Arabidopsis thaliana: one gene and its partners. The protein of the gene in region 3 interacts with the protein of the main gene of each other region in a pairwise test. Each region holds a gene or a part of one and is shown on either strand. Other genes may lie near its edges. The genes, in order: WIP1, SUN2, AT1G71360 and AT5G44920.

Region 1 (4,601 bases), on a different chromosome or scaffold from region 3:
CAGTGTATCAAGTTTGTGTATAGATAAGTATATATAAGTGGTGTGACACTAACTCTTGTTTTTTGTTTGGTTGGAAACAGAATGTGAAGTGAACTTTGAGTATATGGACTACAAGGTCTTGACAAAGAGGTGCAAAGGTCCAGCGTTTCCAGCCAAAGAATGTTGCTCTGCTTTTAAAGAATTTGCATGTCCTTACGTGAGTCAGATCAACGACATGAATAGTGATTGTGCACAGACAATGTTCAGCTACATGAATATTTATGGAAACTACCCTACTGGCCTTTTCGCTAACGAGTGCAGAGAAAGGAAAGATGGGCTTGTTTGCCCTTTACCACCTCTCTATTCACATAACCTAAACGCCTCAACTGCTGATTCGACTCCTCGTTTTATCTCGCTGTTGATCTCTGCTGCAACCGCTGTTTTTGCTTTGTTAGTGTTGACTTGATCAATCAAAGGAAATTGAAAGAGCCAAAGAGTGATTACATTTTGATACCATATTAGCTAACAAACTAGATAGAATTATCAAATTGTTCTGTTACTGACCAAGTGTCCAAGTGTAAAGAATACTTGACCTCCAAAATAAACAAAAGAAGAAGCGAGACTTACTTGATTAATTTTATTACCAGAGGCAAAACTTATAGCCGAATTGTTAACAAGAAAAGCCAAAAGCCAAAACAAAACTCAGTTTACATCAAAAATCAAAAGTCATGTGGGTACAACAGTATCTGGCTCCGGCAACAATTGAGACAGGAGCAACAAAACTACTGTTGACAGCAATACTAACTGTATAAGAACGTATGAAGTGATCTTACATGCTCTCTTCTTGATGGTCCCGGTGATTTCTATGCAATCGTTTTGCAGGTCTTGAGCTCTGTTTGTAAAATTTGCAGCCTTCGTTTGTACTCTTCCTAGCTTATTCAGCGTCTCATGGGTTTGCTCTTCTGCCAATGACTCTTGTTCATCAATTAACTTCATCTGACTGTTTAAGTTATCGATAGATCTTGAATATATCAGATATTCAATCTCGGCCTCAATCTTCTGCCGGAAGATGTCTTCAACCACAATCTCTGTTCCTCCCCACGAGTGTTTGCTTTGGTTCGTGGTGGATTCAAGGTCACGGATGTGTGATTCTTTCACCTCAAGCATGGACCTTGTTTCTTCTAGCATGTTCTCCAGTTGTTCAACATTGTTTACCAGGGTTACAATCTCGGGGTGAGGTGAATTTGCTTCGCTGACTTGTTCATGATGCTGTGGCATTGGTTCATTCCCGATCTCCTGGAATTGCTGAACCTCTGCAAATGAAATTTCATAAAGAGTCACATTAAACATCATAATCATTGTTCATGTGATGTTATTAGTTGATTCCAACATGATAATGCAGGCTCATAACAAGAAATAGTTATGTAACAGCAGTAAAAATAATGCAAGTTTAGATACAATCCGCAGCAAAAAAATAATCAGAATGGCTACCTTTTTCAAGAGCATCTTGCAAGGCCAAGAAACCGTTGATGGCCTCTGTTAATGGATCCATTTCATCTGAGTAACGATTGTCCGTGTTTATCGACTCTCCGCCTTCTCCTCCCGCATCATCTTTTCTCATTGACGTTTCCCCATTTTCACCATTGTAGTCCATCATTCTTCCACTCTGCTTTCTTGAGTCAGATTCCAAGCTGGAATAAGAGTTTTCCTTCTCGAAATCGACACTTTCTCCTCTATGTTTCTTACTATTCTCTACACGAATGTTTCCTCCCTGACCTGAACTAATCATTGGCTTCTCATACCTAATAACCTTGGGAGCTCTTGCAACCGTGGAAGACTTACTACTCCGATCATCATCTATCTCTAAATCCATACCAGCTGAAAAACCAACCCCTGCCACAAACCTAGAATCGTAACCACTACTCCCAAGTATATCAAAACCATCACCGCTACTTTTCAACATATTAACAGACCCAACAGATCCCTGACTCTCTTGTTCAACTTCCGGTGACTGAAACTGCATCTGTTTACCATGTGAATGAGCAACACCTGACAACCCTCTCTTCAGAGCTTTACTATTCTCCATATTCGCAGACGTGTCCTTAACAAGATCTCTCCTAATCCTCCTCCATTTTCTCAAGCCTTGTCCTTTCAAAACCGGAGAATAAGCACCACCACCATCACCTGGTGAATCAAAACTCATAGGTTTACCGAGTTCAACAGAATTAGAAGTCGAAAGCAGTTTCACACTCTCATCAGAGCAAGACCCGTTATCCAAACTCCTACCATCATCACAAACGTTGCTGGCACTTTGTTGAATCAAAACATTATCATCAACAGACTCAAGTGCAGAGCTTTCACTCTCCAAATCCATTGACTCCACAAAAAAATCTATCCCCCACCAAATTCACATCGGTTTCAGAAGTAACAGGAGCTCAGATCAATAACCCAAAACCCGAAATGAGGATCCCAAATTCGATCATACACAATCAAAAAGTCAACTCAACAAGCTATACAAATTCATTGGTTCCTTGACGGTTAAATAGAAATATAAAGGTCTAAAATTTCCTACCATGCCACCATCTATCGGATCAAAGAAGAGAAGAAATGATTCCAAAAATGAAAATCCAGCTCAATGGAAGAACACAGATTTCGAATTGAATCGCAAAGTTTTGGTCTTTTTGGAGAAAGGAAGGGTATACAGCAGAGAGATGGAAAAAGGAGGGTGAAAAGTGAAAACCCTAATCCAATGATCGGATTCGCAGATCTATAATTCTCTCGTTCAATGTGGAAAGTTTCTTTGTGGGAAAAAGTTTATTCTTTTTTCCCTCATGATCAATTTTGTTCCTTTTTGAAAATTACGTGTGGGTGGTTGGAATATAACACGTGTCGGAATCGCCTGACCTCTCAGCATCACCTTCTTCATTTTTGACCGTGAGATTGGACACGACATATATATACCGTTAATAATTATCATTTTGGTTATTACAATTTCAGAAAATTGTTGAACTGACCTAAAACATGGGGACAGTGTGAGAATAAACAGAGAATTACAAAGGGTACATACAACCATAAAACACCACAAGTCACATTCTTACATCATCTGAGAGGATTGAGATTAGCACAAACGAAATTGGGCTACTACACACTCATTACACAGACTGAAGAAACATAACAAAAAAAAAGAGAATCAGAAAGGCTTCTCGTAGCCTCGAGCTGGAGGTTGGTCCCAAGCTTGCAAGAATGCTGCACAATTGCAAAGACATAATGAATCTCAGCTCTTTAAGAAGCTAAAATAGAAAAGAGAAAGAATTTGATATTGGTCTTACTCAATGGTATTTCTCCGAGTGACATGAAGATCGAATCATCGTCTGTATTATTTGGTACTTGGTCATTTCCAATAGCTCCCTGAGACGTTTTCAGGATCTGTTAGCAACAACAAACATTCTATGTGACATAAAACTTGACAAGTAGAGTAGGTACCTCTCGGTCTTGAAGGCTAACTGTGTTGTTATTCTGTGGGACACTACTGGTTCCCTGGTTTATTGGAGTAAAGGAATCAAGATACTCTACCATCATGAGTCTTTCATTGTAGTCTGGGACGTCATCGATGCCCATATATGGAGCAGCTTCTTGCCTGTTAGATATGAAAACCCATTAGCCAAAATGTAATAGGTGTGTGTATATATAAGTGTTAAGAGTAGGACTTGGCCGTACTTTCTTCCTGGATCATTGCTGGACTTTACCACTTCTTGATCATCATCCAAATTAATCACTTCTATCTCTTTACCATTGCTCATCCGAGTACTCGTACCAAACTCGAGAGACTTACTAGAACTGCTGATTGAGAGATCAAAATCAACAGCTTGACGAGATTCCTTTATCCCATCATTCACATCCGACGCTCCCCCTAGATTTAGGTCACACATCTTAAACGAAGCAGGAAACAGCTGATGTTCTTCAGCATACCCTGGACCTGTTCTGCCAGTGTGTGTCCTATTGTATGTAGAGTTATTAACCAGACTTTCATGGCTGACCCTTTTTCCAGCAGCACCGTCAATCAGTCTTTTGTTGAACGAGCTTGTCTTTCCTTCTTCTTCCGGATCGCATTGGTTTCCGCTTGTTTTAAACATGTTGAAGCGTTCATTAGCTTCAGAAACTGCCACCCAATCTCTCTGTCTTTTTGATCCCTCCTCCAAGTCACTGCCTTCACCAGGCCTTTTCTCACCTACTTTCCCCACCGAATGTGATCTGTGCAGATTAGGCAATTCTAATCCTGATTCTTTCTCACTGTTATCCCTGAGAATGCTACTGGGAAAAGAATTAGACCTATGACATTTACTGTTCTCAATATATTGAACAAGAGCAAAATCTTCAACTTGGTCATTTTCATCACCAGTACTATCGGCCTTTCCAGATGATTGGCCTCGAGTCTCACATCGATTTTCGGTTTGATCTTCTTCTTCAAGTCCAGAATTATGAGAGGTATCCTTGATATTATGACTCAAATAAAGCTTTGGGCCTTTTGCAGTCAGAGAAGAGCGTGTCCTCGTAGGCACCTTCTCAAATTTACACAGCGTTGCCAAATCAATACCACTCTTGGTGAATGATTCATCAGCCCC
Region 2 (4,909 bases), on a different chromosome or scaffold from region 3:
ACTAAACCTTCCTCTGTTTCACTAGTGAAGAAGCCGGAAAACCAAAACTTTCTCCTCTTTTTGTTTCAGGAAGCACTCGACGGTATCGAGTTTGCCCGAGGAGATGCCAATTCTACTTGGGGATCTGTTCGAGCTAAAATGGGACGCCAAGAACCTTTTGAACTTAAATACGTTGCTATTGGAAATGAAGATTGTGGGAAAACTTACTACAGAGGTTTTGCATTTCTCTATGATCACATCTTGACTTAGATTTTTGTTGAGCATCTTTGACACTAAATGAGATTACAACTTTACAGGAAACTACATTGTGTTCTATGATGCTATCAAGAAAGCCTATCCAGATATCAAAATCATCTCCAACTGCGATGGATCCTCTCATCCACTCGACCACCCAGCTGATTACTATGACTATCACGTAAAATTTTCTATCTTGACAGAAACTGTAACCGTTGTCTTGTGTTCTCTCTTCCGCCTGAAAAAAGTGTTTCCTTTTTGTCACAGATTTACACTTCTGCTAGCAATTTGTTTTCCATGTATCATCAATTTGATCGCACTTCACGCAAAGGTCCAAAGGTGCGGTAATAGATTATAACAAAACTTAATTCCAACAAACACAAGATGAAGCTTTCAGCGTTTTACTCACTCGTGAACTTTGTTTACAGGCTTTTGTCAGTGAATATGCTGTTACTGGAAAAGATGCTGGTACAGGAAGCCTTCTTGCCTCTCTTGCAGAAGCTGCGTTTCTCATTGGTCTTGAAAAGAATAGGTTCCCTTTGAATTTCTCTTCCCAGGCTTTGATCTCAACTAAAAACATCAAATAAGTTAAACATCTTATGACTTTTTGCAGTGACATTGTTGAAATGGCAAGTTATGCTCCACTCTTTGTGAACACAAATGATAGACGGTATCTCTCACTTACTTTTCCGTTCGAATGGTTACTCAGGAAGATAAGGCAATAATCTCAAATTGTTAAATTGGTTTCAGGTGGAACCCTGATGCAATAGTCTTCAACTCCTCTCATCTATATGGAACACCTAGCTATTGGGTTCAACGGTTTTTTGCAGAGTCAAGCGGAGCAACTCTTCTCACTTCAACACTCAAGGGAAACTCTACTTCTCTTGTTGCATCTGCTATCTCTTGGAAAAACAATGGCAAAGATTACATACGCATAAAGGTAAACCGAGTGAAAGATTCAACCGGAGCTCTGATATTGACCCTAAAAAACTGTTTCAAAATCTGTTATTTGCAGGCTGTAAACTTCGGAGCTAACTCAGAAAATATGCAAGTGTTGGTAACTGGATTGGACCCGAACGTGATGAGAGTTTCGGGATCAAAGAAGACAGTACTTACCTCTACCAATGTGATGGATGAAAATTCCTTCTCACAGCCAGAGAAGGTAAAAATCAAGAGATGGAAGAAACATCATTATCATCACAAATTCTGAGTGTTCCCATGTTCTTATTGGTTTTTATTTGCAGGTTGTACCACATGAAAGCTTGCTAGAGTTGGCAGAGGAGGATATGACCGTTGTTCTCCCGCCACATTCCTTTTCTTCATTCGATTTGTTGAAGGAATCTGCAAAGATAAGAATGCCAATCTCTGATTCTTCTTCCCATCAGAAAACTACCACTGTGTGAAGAGAAACAATGACAAGGAAGTATCAACTTTCATGTCAAAAGTCTCTTTGTGGTTCAAATCTAATTACATTCCATAAATGCTTATAACGTACCCTTGTGTATATATAATAATAGTCTGGTGAATAAATTTACTTTCTTTAATCATGAGCTTATCTCGACTCTAGATATCTTGATATGCAAGAATGATGAAGCAACAGTTTCTTCTTAGCATAAAAGAAGATGACGAGGCGTGAAAGTGGGCTGGGCCATTTTATTTCCATTATTGGGCTTTTAAAAGCCCATCATAATGAATTTTGAAAAAAATGGAGGAGCATCAAAACAAATAAAAATGGCGAAACTGAAGAACACACGATTCAGATTTTCAAAATTGAATTTTGTAGTGATCTCTCTCCTATATAAACTTCCTCACTCTTCTTCCATTTCAAATCTCTCTCTCTGTAGTCAAAATTAGGGTTTATTTATTCATAAGGAAGAGCATTTCGAATTCTGTAGTTCAAAATTGAAGATCATGTCGGCGTCAACGGTGTCAATCACCGCTAGTCCTAGGACAATAAGGCGGACGCCGGTTCTCTCCGGTGAGAAGAAATCTAATTTTGATTTCCCGCCGAGCGAATCTCATGCCAATGCGGCAATTGGAGAGTCGTCTGCTGGTACGAACAAGGATCTGATTCGCGCCGAGGCTGCCGGTGAGAGATCCAACACCTACGACGTAGGTCCGGTGACAAGGAAATCAGGATCCACCGCGACGGGGACTAATACAACCACCACGCAGCGTCGGACGCGGAAGTCTCAGGGGAATAAGATAGATAGAGGGAAATGGAAGACAGTGGTTAGGGTATTCGCGAAGCAATTTGGGGCTCTTTTGTTACTTGTTGGATTGATTCAGTTGATTAGGAAATTGACTTTGAAGGATTCGTCTCTGTCTTCTTCGAATTTCCCAATTGAAACGGAAATGGTGCTTTCGGAATTGGAGAGTCGGATTTCTGCAGTTGATGGTTTGGTGAAGACTACGACGAAGATGATGCAGGTTCAAGTTGAGTTTCTTGATAAGAAGATGGATAGTGAATCAAGAGCATTGAGGCAGACGATAGATTCCACATCTTCTGTGTTACATAGTGAGTTGAAGAAGGTAGAGTCTAAGACAGAGAGGTTACAGGTTTCTGTAGATGAGTTAAATGCTAAACCTTTGGTGTCTAGAGAGGAGTTAGAGAGAGTTTACGAGGAGTTGAAGAAGGGTAAGGTCGGTGATTCTGATGTTAACATTGATAAACTGAGGGCTTATGCTCGTGACATAGTGGAGAAAGAGATAGGGAAACATGTTGCAGATGGCCTTGGTCGAGTAGATTATGCGTTAGCGTCTGGTGGAGCTTTTGTAATGGGGCATTCGGATCCGTTTCTTGTTGGAAATGGGCGTAATTGGTTTGGGACAAGCAGGAGACGGGTTCATAGCAAAGCGGTTAAGATGTTAACTCCGAGTTTCGGGGAGCCTGGACAGTGTTTTCCTCTGAAAGGAAGCAATGGATATGTTCTAGTCAGGCTAAGAGCACCAATAATTCCAGAAGCTGTTACTTTGGAACATGTCTCTAAGGTAGTACTAACATCTCAATACTAAACTTTCACAAAATGATTGATTTTTATATGTTAATTTGAGCCTTCAAGAAGGGTTCTCTGTTAAATGTTGTTGGTATTGAGATGCCCTGTACTTCGGATTGGATTGCTGGTGACAATAGGTTATCGAATAGAGGGCAAGAAACTAGTTTTGTGAATTTGAGTTCTTATAGTTTGAGGTTTAGTTTAGGCACTAGCTGTGACAATATGCATTGAGGAGGATTTTACCTATTGTTATTTTCTGCAAATCACTAGCTTTAGCAGTTCCTTTGTCTAATATCAATGCCACTGTGTTGTTGTGCTTTGTTTGGGACATCGTTGACAGAGAAAAGAACCGTATGTATGGGAAGAGCTTGTAAGTTTACAATTAGTGGAACTGTAATATTCACTGTTTACGGATATCCTTAGGAAACAGTAGCTGAAGGGAAATAGTCTCAAGAGTGTGTAATGTGATGGTCACACATTGCTTTCCATCATTGTTCATCCTTGTGATCATTTGTCTGATAAATTTCTTCTTGTCTGACCACTAAAAGGCAATACTAATCTTACGGTTATGTTATGCACCATTTAATCGAACAGGCTGTAGCATATGACAGATCGAGCGCCCCAAAGGATTGCCGTGTATCAGGATGGCTAGGTGACATAGATATGGAGACTGAGACAATGCCCCTTCTTACAGAATTCAGTTACGACTTAGACAGGTCCAATGCACAGACATTCGACATTGCAGACTCTGCTCACTCAGGACTTGTCAACACTGTCAGGCTAGACTTCAATTCCAACCATGGAAGCTCTTCACACACTTGCATCTACCGCTTCAGGGTTCATGGCCGTGAACTAGACTCAGTCTCTGTTGCTCATGCTTGATCTGAAAGTCCACGTCAAACTTTTCTTCTCTTTGTAACATTCCCTCTAATAGATATCTCTCTTCTTTTTTTGTGTTAGTTTATGTGGTGGGAAAGCTTCTCTTAGTCTGTAATCAGAATCATTTGGTTGTATTCGTGATTATTAGCTTCAAATCTGTTTTGGTTCGGTTTATTTGGTCAGGGTATGTATCCTCCGAATTGAATAATATAGATCTTAGTTTGATGTCCGGTTTTGGTTTTGTAACAGAGTTTCAATTTAAGCTTTCACCTAAAACAAATCATACAAATTCTAATAGAGTATACATATTTCATTAGTTGAAACAAATATTGAATTTGGATTATTAATGGTTACCTTGGGTACTTGGTATTACAACGATATGTGATGAATAGGAAGAGTGTGTATATAGATGGACCATAACTTGTTAGTGTGAATTGCGTAATCGACAAAGTGACGACTTCTTCTTCTAGGCTGCACCGTCTTGCCTTGTCTAAAAGCTTCCCAACACATCACATGCAAAATCTACGGTCAAATAATAGATATGAAACCCTCTTCCAAGTCAACACAGCTTGTTTGATTATAAATTAAATTAAATACAAATTCATCTTTGACATGTCTGATTAATGTTAATTTTTTACAGTGTCAACTGGCATAACAAATTGAGCTAAACAAAATTAAGCTCTAAAAATAGCCATTTTTTACGGTTAAATCACATGAAGAAACCTTTCCTAACCAAGTCAACCCATGTTTGGTCGTCGTGACGGTGGACCACCGGCTCCAAAAAAACTCTTCATTTGACC
Region 3 (4,709 bases):
TCACGGAGCTGTGCAGTGAAGACAAAGCGAACTGTTCTTTCGCCTTTTACTAAAGAATACCGTGTCTTCTCTGTTCTTAGCGGCATACGCCTATTTTTGGAAAGGTTTATTAACCATTAATAAACCTCCATCAATCTTCAGTTTATAAATGATTATAGCTAACTTTATTTCTCTCTAGTATAAAGCTCAGTTTTATGCTGAAGTTACGTTGACAAATAACCCCACTTTGGATGAACTATGAAGAGTAGGAGATGACATGTGAGAGATTGGTATAAGAGGTTGATTGGATTCGAATTTTAAAACTATCTTTGCTCTGTGGCAATGACGAAGCTAGGGTTAATTATTGAAAGAAAATGTTTATAATTATTTTGGTCATAAGAAAATGTTTTCTGTGAATAATAGTTTTGTTTGTAAATCAACTTTCTGCAATGAAAACTCTTTCTACGTATAAGCTTTGATTTGATAAGAGTTTTTTCCATTGAACCGGACAAAACTCTTGTATTTGAAACCTCATAGGCACATCATAACTTATCTAGGTAACTTCTATAGTTTTATTGGGTATAAAGAAGACTCAGCTAACTCTACAGTAAGAAAAAAACTAGAAAACAAAAAGAAAGACCAAAACTGAGAACTCTTCTCTCATCAAAGTGACAAAATGAACATAACGAATGTGGAGCTTATCAATAACAGAAGCCAAGCCAAGCCACCTTGCTTCTCTGCTCGAACTATCCCCATACCAAAAACCACGGCTACAACTGCTATAGTCCCAAACCCGACACAGATTGTGAACACAACCACACCTTTCTTCTCCATCCACTCCAGTCTTTCCAACACTTGCTCTAACCTCTCCTTCACTTTCTCTTTCTCATTCTCAGCCTTCTCAAGCTCTGTCTCCACTCTCATCCGCCACTTTCTCATCTCCATCGCCTCTTTCTTCGTATTCTCTTCCCTCTCCTTCATTCCTTCTACCTCTAGTCTCATAGTCTCCACCTCCTTCTCTCTCTTGCTCGCCTCCAGGTCCATCTCCTTGAATATCATCCCGTATTTCAAGCTCCGTTCCTCCAAGTAACTCTCAAGAACTGATAAGCTCACGTCCAGCGACCTTATCTTCTGCATCAGTATCTTCAAGACAGTGTCCCCCGGCATTCTGCTTCCTGGTTGATGTTTTATCTCTTCCACCGGATCTGGCAGCTTTCTTTTCTCAAGTGATACTTCATCTTTCACAACCGCATTCTCTGGTGAGGCTTCTTGTTCCTTCTCCTTCTGTTTACTCTTGTCTTCATCGCTTTCGAAGGACTCTTTTGCTTGCATTGTCTTCTTCTCTTTCTGCTCAGTGTCTCCTTCTTGGAGTTTCAATATGTTCTTGTCTTGGATAGATATCAAATCCTCCAGCATTCGCTCCACAGCGTCCACTCCATAGACTTCTAGTAAACTCAAGGTGCAGTAGAATTCTGAACCGTAATGGCTTAGCAAGTTTAGCTTTAGATATCTCACCCATTTGGGATCTGCAAATGTAAAGTTCTGCTCGTGCTTCATGTTTAAAGCCGTGAAATTCCCTAGATGAACCCACGTATCAGTTGGGTAAACCAAGGTCCCCAAAATCTCAAAATCCTTCAGATTGGAAGAGTAATGCTCGAAATTTGCAATCTTGATTGTGTTCACCAACGTTTCTTCTGAAAGTTCTATGACAACGAACTTCCCTTCAGTAGAACACGGGTTTCGGAGATACTTGTCTTTGTCCCGGCATATGATGCTTGAAGCTCCTTTTGCTTCCTTGTTAGAAGATAAGACCTTTGCACCTTTTGAAGCAGCTGCATAATTGTACTCTTTCCCACCAGGCTCCATCCTATGAATAACGCCAGTTACTTGGCCTGACAAAGATTTGTCTCTAGAATTGGACGCTCTGCTCTTGAACTCATCAAGGCCAAGCGGAACAGCACGAGATAGCTGATCAAGCTTTGAACCAGTGGTCTCTGTATCATTCCCTGGAACTGTGTTATTATTTATCTCACTTTGCTTCATAGGCACGTTGTCTTTGCTTTCTGTAACATTTCCTACGATAACGATTGTGTTATCGACTTCTAATTGCTTCAAGATGGTTTCTGAGCCTTTACTTTCTCCGGCTGCAGCTATATCAACATCCGAACTCAATCCAGGATTAGAATGAACAGAGGTAGACTCTAGTGATGTTGCATCAACAGACTCAGCTGTCTCATCTGCCCTTTCATCATCCGGTTCACCTTTTTCAACTGAATCCACTAAAGATCTACCTGCAAATGCCCAAGAGTAAGCCTTAGATACACTTAAGATATGGTCTATACATCTTCATGATTGTCATATCTCTAAGAGCGTATATTACTTAAGTTCAGTTCTCTAACCATATTCTAATAACTGTTTTGCATTCTGTCCAAATAAGGAACTCAAAAAGTTACCTTTGTCACCATCAACATGACTGATCCACAATGTAGATAAGAAGACAAGCCCCCATATGAGAAAAACCAAAGACAATGAAACTTTGTAGAAGCGATTCCTTCCATTAGAAGTAGTCTCAGAAACTCTTCTTCTAACCAGAAGAGCTCTCCGTGATCTTTGCATTTCACATCCAACCAATAAGATCAGATCACCAAACAAAAACTTAATATACTGTTCACACCTGTTCATAACGACACACATCAGATTCACAACTAAAAGCAAAATTGTATAAACTAAACAACAGAAACAAAGATCTCATAAATACAAGCAATAACAACAGAGCACTTGAGTCAAAGCTGCAAAATTTTACAATGAAATCGAAAAACGATAACGACCCAGCAAATGATTTTCAGATCCAATTGTAGAAAGACGAAGAATTGAGGAGAAAGTAGCCGGAGTAAGAATTTACCTGAGAAGCGAATCGGTGATTGAGGAAGACAAACCGAAAAGGAAGGCTTCTTCGTAACAAAACCCTTTTCAACGGCGACGTCTCCGATGAGTATCCGATCTAATGAAACCCGGTCGATGAAATTCCGACGATCTACCTCGTCTCTGCATCACAATCAATGAAACGCACCTCAATCTATCCCACTTTTTTCACGGGATTTATAGAAGCCGAGGGTTTTTAACCGTTGTGGTGTTAAAAAAAAAGGTGAAGAGTCAAAAAGAGAGAGACTTTCGAAAATTGAAAAAAACGCGGAAGAATCTGTAGAGTCGACAGAACTGATCCGCGAAAGACAAGACAATGGACACAGAGATGGGTGTGAGAAGAGTTTTGAGCAAATTTAATATACACATGAAATGATTGTACCGGTCAATAATTTTGAATTTGCAATTACTTTCTTTAAATTTGTTTCCTTACTATATCTTACCTTCTAATCAAAATTATGTGCTTAGCTGTAAAGTGAATAATTTTAAATTGAAGTAAATTATCATATTTATCTTTACGTTTTGACTAAAGATATTATTATTAGATTTCCTTCTCTGTTGTTGTTCAAACTGATTATTAAATTTCCTACGTTTAAATATTTTTGTACATGAACATTTTTTTGTTTTTTCCAAATTTGATTTGATTTGGGTATAGAAATTAACATATGGGGAGGTTGCCAATTCATTTGTGGGGTTAATGGACATGGATGTAGTTTAGTAGTTATAGCCACTATAGTATTGGCCTTATATTTATTTGGTTATAGTATTCAATTCAAACTATTATATCTCCAGAAAGCATAATTATTATTATTCCAGTTTCACATTCATTCAGTTTCTTCCTACGAAGAAAAGTAATTTAAAAAAAAAAACTTTTTAAAATCATTTAAATCCTAGGACTCTTTAACTTTTGTTTAAAAAGAAAAGTGAACTTTTATCTTAGGAATGCATATTCCCGAATATGTGGATCCAATCACTTTTTCCTAATGGATTTACTTCATTTTGGTCTATTAATATCATCATTAGGAATATCCCAAAATTTTAAATTAAAAGTATTCAAAAATTCTATTACATATTTTAGATTGTAACAAAACATCACAACAAAATAAAATAAAATTATATATGCGTTAAAACAAGACATATGTGTTCCTATGTTAGTTACAAACATACAGACATATGTATAAGTTAGATTTAGATTGGAAATGCAATTTGGTAATTAGGTATCCAACTTTGACAAAGTAACTCTAAATATTCAATCACAAAATTTTCGATCAAAAACTTTCAGCAACAACAAACCGATCAAACAAAATAAACAAATATTTTTAAGATTTCCTGATTTTTCCGTTTGTCCAAAATCACTAATTTAATTATCAGAGTAAAAACCATCATACCAATTACTTAGGACATAAGTTATCTTTCAATAATTTGTTTATCTTCTGGAAATTTGTTTGTATTCCAATTTAAAACCAACGAGCAATGAGTATACACCTTTCTATAACAGTGTTATCGTATATAGCAGCAACCAAAGTAGCAAGTTTGAATAGTTGAATAAGTTACAGTACTATATTTGTCAGTGTGAAATTACTTCATAAAAATTAAAAATCCAATAAATAATTGAAATTCAAAATTAGGAAACTAGTGAACGGTAGAGAAGGAGAATGACGGTTAAGGAAATGGGTCCCACATGATGTTGACTAAAAATGACGTGGCGTAAAGAGAGATCCAGCTTCGATTGCTCCCTTCTTCTGAGACACCTGGCGTTTTCATCTGCGTCGACCTCGCCTTTGGCCGACCTCTTCTTTCATTTTTAC
Region 4 (3,630 bases), on a different chromosome or scaffold from region 3:
ATGGAAGTGACCCTCAATGTTCTTGTTTATGCTCAAACCAAACCGGGATCATCCATGGTGTCTAGTAAGGTTAAATGCCTAGCAAGCTCATGCTAAGCAACAAAATGTGATCATTATTAATGATGAATCAAAGACTGGAAAGGTAAAGAAATGTGATCATTTAGTCCTTATAAATTATAACTAGAACCATTCTTTGTTCTTCGTTTTTTCCCAAATACATGACTCAGTACGCCTTTCTAAGCCTTTTCTTTTTATATAGGAACAACAAGAGAAACCACATCACTCTCTAATTCCGGGTCAAGGGTTTGATCAAGAATGCGCGTTTCCTGGTGGGTTTTGACTTTGGGAGTGTTAAATATCAAGAGAGATTCAAGCAAAGAGAGGTACATTTTATCTTTTAATTTGCTAATACTCAAAGACCACCACACAAGTGATGAAATCAACCATTTACATTATTAGCTAACCAATGGAGAAGCAAAAGACTTTTAGGGCAATGAGAATTTCTAGTCATAGAGCCTACACAGAGAACAGAAACAGAGTAATACAAAGCACAAGTTTGTTCTTTAAAATAGTAACTGACAATTACAACACAATTATTAACAAAGAGACACACAAATGTACAAAGCAACCAAATGATCTTTAACACCCCATTTAAACAACACACAAACAAACAGCATAAAGTTGCACAAAAGCCACTTATGAAGGAGGTGGTGCTTTGTTCTGGTTATTTTTGTACCAAAACCACGACGCAAGAACAACTGCCAGAGTACCTATGAACCATTCAGGAGTCTGGAAAAACTTCTGATCAGGGAGATACTTAGGGGCAATGAAGAAACTAAAGATCAAGTTGATGGTTATAGCCAAGAAAGCAACTCCTATAGCTGACCAACTGTTGTCAGTTGGTATGTTTAGCTGTTTCTTAACCTCCTTAACAATATCCAAAACAAAATCGGTATCGTGTCTGCAAAAAAAAAAATTATAACATGAGTTAGAGAAAGAAGAAGATGATGCAAGTAGGTTTTTACTTTTTTTTGGTTATATCAATAATACAAGAATCATCAAGAAAACTCGAGCGGTCAAGTTTCGGCATATATCGCTCGGTCAAGTGGGTTGGTGCCTTGGTGGATTTGCGGAAAACTCCTTACCAAAGAGATCTACTAATCAAAGATCAGTCGGGCATAGATCCAAACATAATCAAGAATACATGTATTTTGAAGTATTACTTGTACTTTGAGTTTGACCGGGAAAACCCTATTCTTTTTGTCACAGATCTCAGGGCACGCTCCCAACCCTCGACCCTCTCAGGCTCCCCTGCATGGTTTTGCTTCAGTTGCTTAAAAGGAAGGGAAAACTCTCCATCAAGATTGCCTTCTCCATCGGGATTGGCTGCTCTTTTTACATCGTCCGATCTTACGTTATAGAAGATTGGAATCACCACGAGTTTCTTTTCCTTCATCTGTTCATTCATCGTCACAAGCTCATCCAAACACCACTTTGACTCACAGTACCTCTTGGAGAAGATAGCAAGCGCGATTTTTGACTTCTTGATCCTTGTGAAGAGATATTGTAGTCTTCTCCCTTTCTGCTCTTTAGTGTCTATGAAGACGTTGATCCCTGCGTTTCTTAATTGCAGCTCTAGATGGTTGACAAAGATTTCGCGCAGCTCATCTCCTCGGAAGTTGATAAACACCTGATCAGAAAGAGGTTCTTGGACCTGCTCATCCATTGGAATGGTGTCTAGGTTCGTCTGAATAAAAAATAGTGAATATAGTTGGTGAGAGACTTTGTTGTCTCACTTTGTCCTTTAAAATACATTACAGAGAAACGATTCTTTAATTCTTCAGACCAATCAGTGGCTCGATGCCAAGTCTGCGCCTATCCTCAGTCTTTCTTTAATATTATACAACATTATTGTCTCAATGGATCCAAATACTCTAAATCCTGGGTCATGGGTCGGGTAAATAATGTTTTTGAAGACAAACTATAAAGAGTGAAACAACTAAACAGAGATGTAATCTATAGCCAAACAGTGCAAAACTGTTAAGTTTCCAATATCGATACCTCCGATTCCTTAACCAAACCAGTACACACTAACACACCATACACGAGAGAGACTAGCACATCACTAGGTCAGCTCTCAGTACACCATATGAGAGAGACTAGCACATCACTAGCTCAACTCTCAAGTCTCTCATGCAAGACTCACACAATTCAACAACAATCAACAATAAGCATAGATTCTCTAAATCGATATCTCTCCTTATTTATACTCCCAAGCCTGCAACCGCAAACCCTTTGTCATGCCCAGAGACTTTGCTTTCCTTCCCAGCTCATCACACAGTCAACACACACAGTCAACGGTGTTGACTGCCTCTGCTTCTTTCTTTTCTTTACTTGCTTCTCCAATCGTATCAAAAGCCATTTGACCACAAGTTGGTGATTAATCAAGAGGTCATCATCTGTTTGGTTGGGTCCGTAGACAGTAAAGCTGGTGCAAGATACCAGCCAAAACTGGAAACCCTAGTAAACACTTAACAGCTTTATTAACTTTCACATCAGTGCATAGTAAACGAGCTACAATGAGACTACAGATAAAAACCGCAGCTGAAGCCAAAACAAACACTTGTCCTTTAGTAATATTTTGTCTTTCAGAGTCCATTAGCTCGCTCTTAACCGCCGTGACGATTGCCCTCACAAGACCTAAACCCGTTCTGCAAACATATGTCAGGAAGAAACCGTTAAATGAGCTCAAATAAGTAGTCTTCCTAAGAACAAATTAACAAGAATTGACTAAAAAAAAAATTCATAGAAAATTCAAAACAGTTTGTGTTTTCACTACTTATAAATTTCATCAAAAGAATAATTACCCGTGGTCTTCGGAGGTTAAGCCGGTCCGCTCTACTATTGAACTCAATGAATCCTCCCACTTCAAGATCTTGAGTGGATCGTTTGCGTATTTCTCCCTCAGTTCCTCGAAATGATTACCGAATTCATCCTCGAGGTTCTTTACACCGCTTATGCTCACATCATAGAAGACAGGTATCACCTTAAGGTTGCTTTGTTCTACGTGCTCGTACATCTTTTGAAGCTCGTTCAAGCACATCTCTGACTCTGTATACCTCTTGGAGAAGATGACGACCGCGATATTCGACTCCTCGATCTTTGTGGAAATATTTCGTATGTCTCTCCTATTTGCTTCTGCTCTGTCTACGAAAACGTTGACTCTCTCGTCTCTCAATCCCCACACAAGATATTTGATGAAATTGTCGCGCGATTCGTTTCCATAGAAACTAATGAATACTTGAGGAGGACGTTGGTACGGTGGTGGTTCTGCCATGGGAGGGTTGAGAGTTGAGACTTTCTTGCTTTAATTTTTCTTCATGAATATATGGAGAAGAAGAAGCTGGAAAAGTAAAAGATTCATTTCTTGTTTTGGACCAATTCATTTCAAAAGTCAAAGCATTTATTTCTTTTTTAGGAAAAATTCATTTCAAAAGTCAACTCTTGGCAACTGTCTTCTTTATTATTTTTTATGGAAAAATTGGAAATATAGGACAAATATTTAGATATTTGTTCATCTATATTCAATGAACAAATGTAAACTATCCTTAAACTATTCTTGTATTAGAT

The links.
Region 1: the proteins of AT1G71360 (region 3) and WIP1 interact in a protein complementation assay, tested with the Arabidopsis thaliana proteins (one study listed by BioGRID).
Region 2: the proteins of AT1G71360 (region 3) and SUN2 interact in a protein complementation assay, tested with the Arabidopsis thaliana proteins (one study listed by BioGRID).
Region 4: the proteins of AT1G71360 (region 3) and AT5G44920 interact in a protein complementation assay, tested with the Arabidopsis thaliana proteins (one study listed by BioGRID).

The regions. Positions count from the first base shown.
Region 1 is NC_003075.7:13,363,489-13,368,089, reverse strand, and holds WIP1 (WPP domain interacting protein 1), read right to left. Parts: upstream 2,808-4,601; 5' UTR 2,354-2,807; coding exon 1,471-2,353; intron 1,293-1,470; coding exon 706-1,292; 3' UTR 559-705; downstream 1-558. Other genes in the region: LRE (lorelei), read left to right, coding at 81-445; AT4G26450 (uncharacterized protein), read right to left, coding at 3,170-3,225, 3,309-3,387, 3,463-3,616, 3,697-4,601. UniProt on the Arabidopsis thaliana protein: Mediates and enhances the nuclear envelope docking of RANGAP proteins mediated by WIT1 and WIT2 in the undifferentiated cells of root tips.
Region 2 is NC_003074.8:3,357,759-3,362,667, reverse strand, and holds SUN2 (SAD1/UNC-84 domain protein 2), read left to right. Parts: upstream 1-1,965; 5' UTR 1,966-2,145; coding exon 2,146-3,225; intron 3,226-3,824; coding exon 3,825-4,112; 3' UTR 4,113-4,380; downstream 4,381-4,909. Other genes in the region: ASD1 (alpha-L-arabinofuranosidase 1), read left to right, coding at 70-214, 297-415, 502-573, 663-766, 848-904, 985-1,174, 1,250-1,396, 1,479-1,637. UniProt on the Arabidopsis thaliana protein: Component of SUN-protein-containing multivariate complexes also called LINC complexes which link the nucleoskeleton and cytoskeleton by providing versatile outer nuclear membrane attachment sites for cytoskeletal filaments.
Region 3 is NC_003070.9:26,891,572-26,896,280, forward strand, and holds AT1G71360 (Galactose-binding protein), read right to left. Parts: upstream 2,676-4,709; 5' UTR 2,674-2,675; coding exon 2,433-2,673; intron 2,271-2,432; coding exon 643-2,270; 3' UTR 505-642; downstream 1-504. UniProt on the Arabidopsis thaliana protein: Encodes a member of the mid-SUN subfamily of SUN-domain proteins that is localized to both the nuclear envelope and the ER. It is involved in early seed development and nuclear morphology. [TAIR].
Region 4 is NC_003076.8:18,137,061-18,140,690, reverse strand, and holds AT5G44920 (Toll-Interleukin-Resistance (TIR) domain family protein), read right to left. Parts: upstream 1,917-3,630; 5' UTR 1,727-1,916; coding exon 1,224-1,726; intron 962-1,223; coding exon 697-961; 3' UTR 501-696; downstream 1-500. Other genes in the region: ARAD2 (Exostosin family protein), read left to right, coding at 1-65; AT5G44910 (Toll-Interleukin-Resistance (TIR) domain family protein), read right to left, coding at 2,456-2,711, 2,868-3,337. UniProt on the Arabidopsis thaliana protein: Could play a role in nuclear morphology, specifically nuclear size.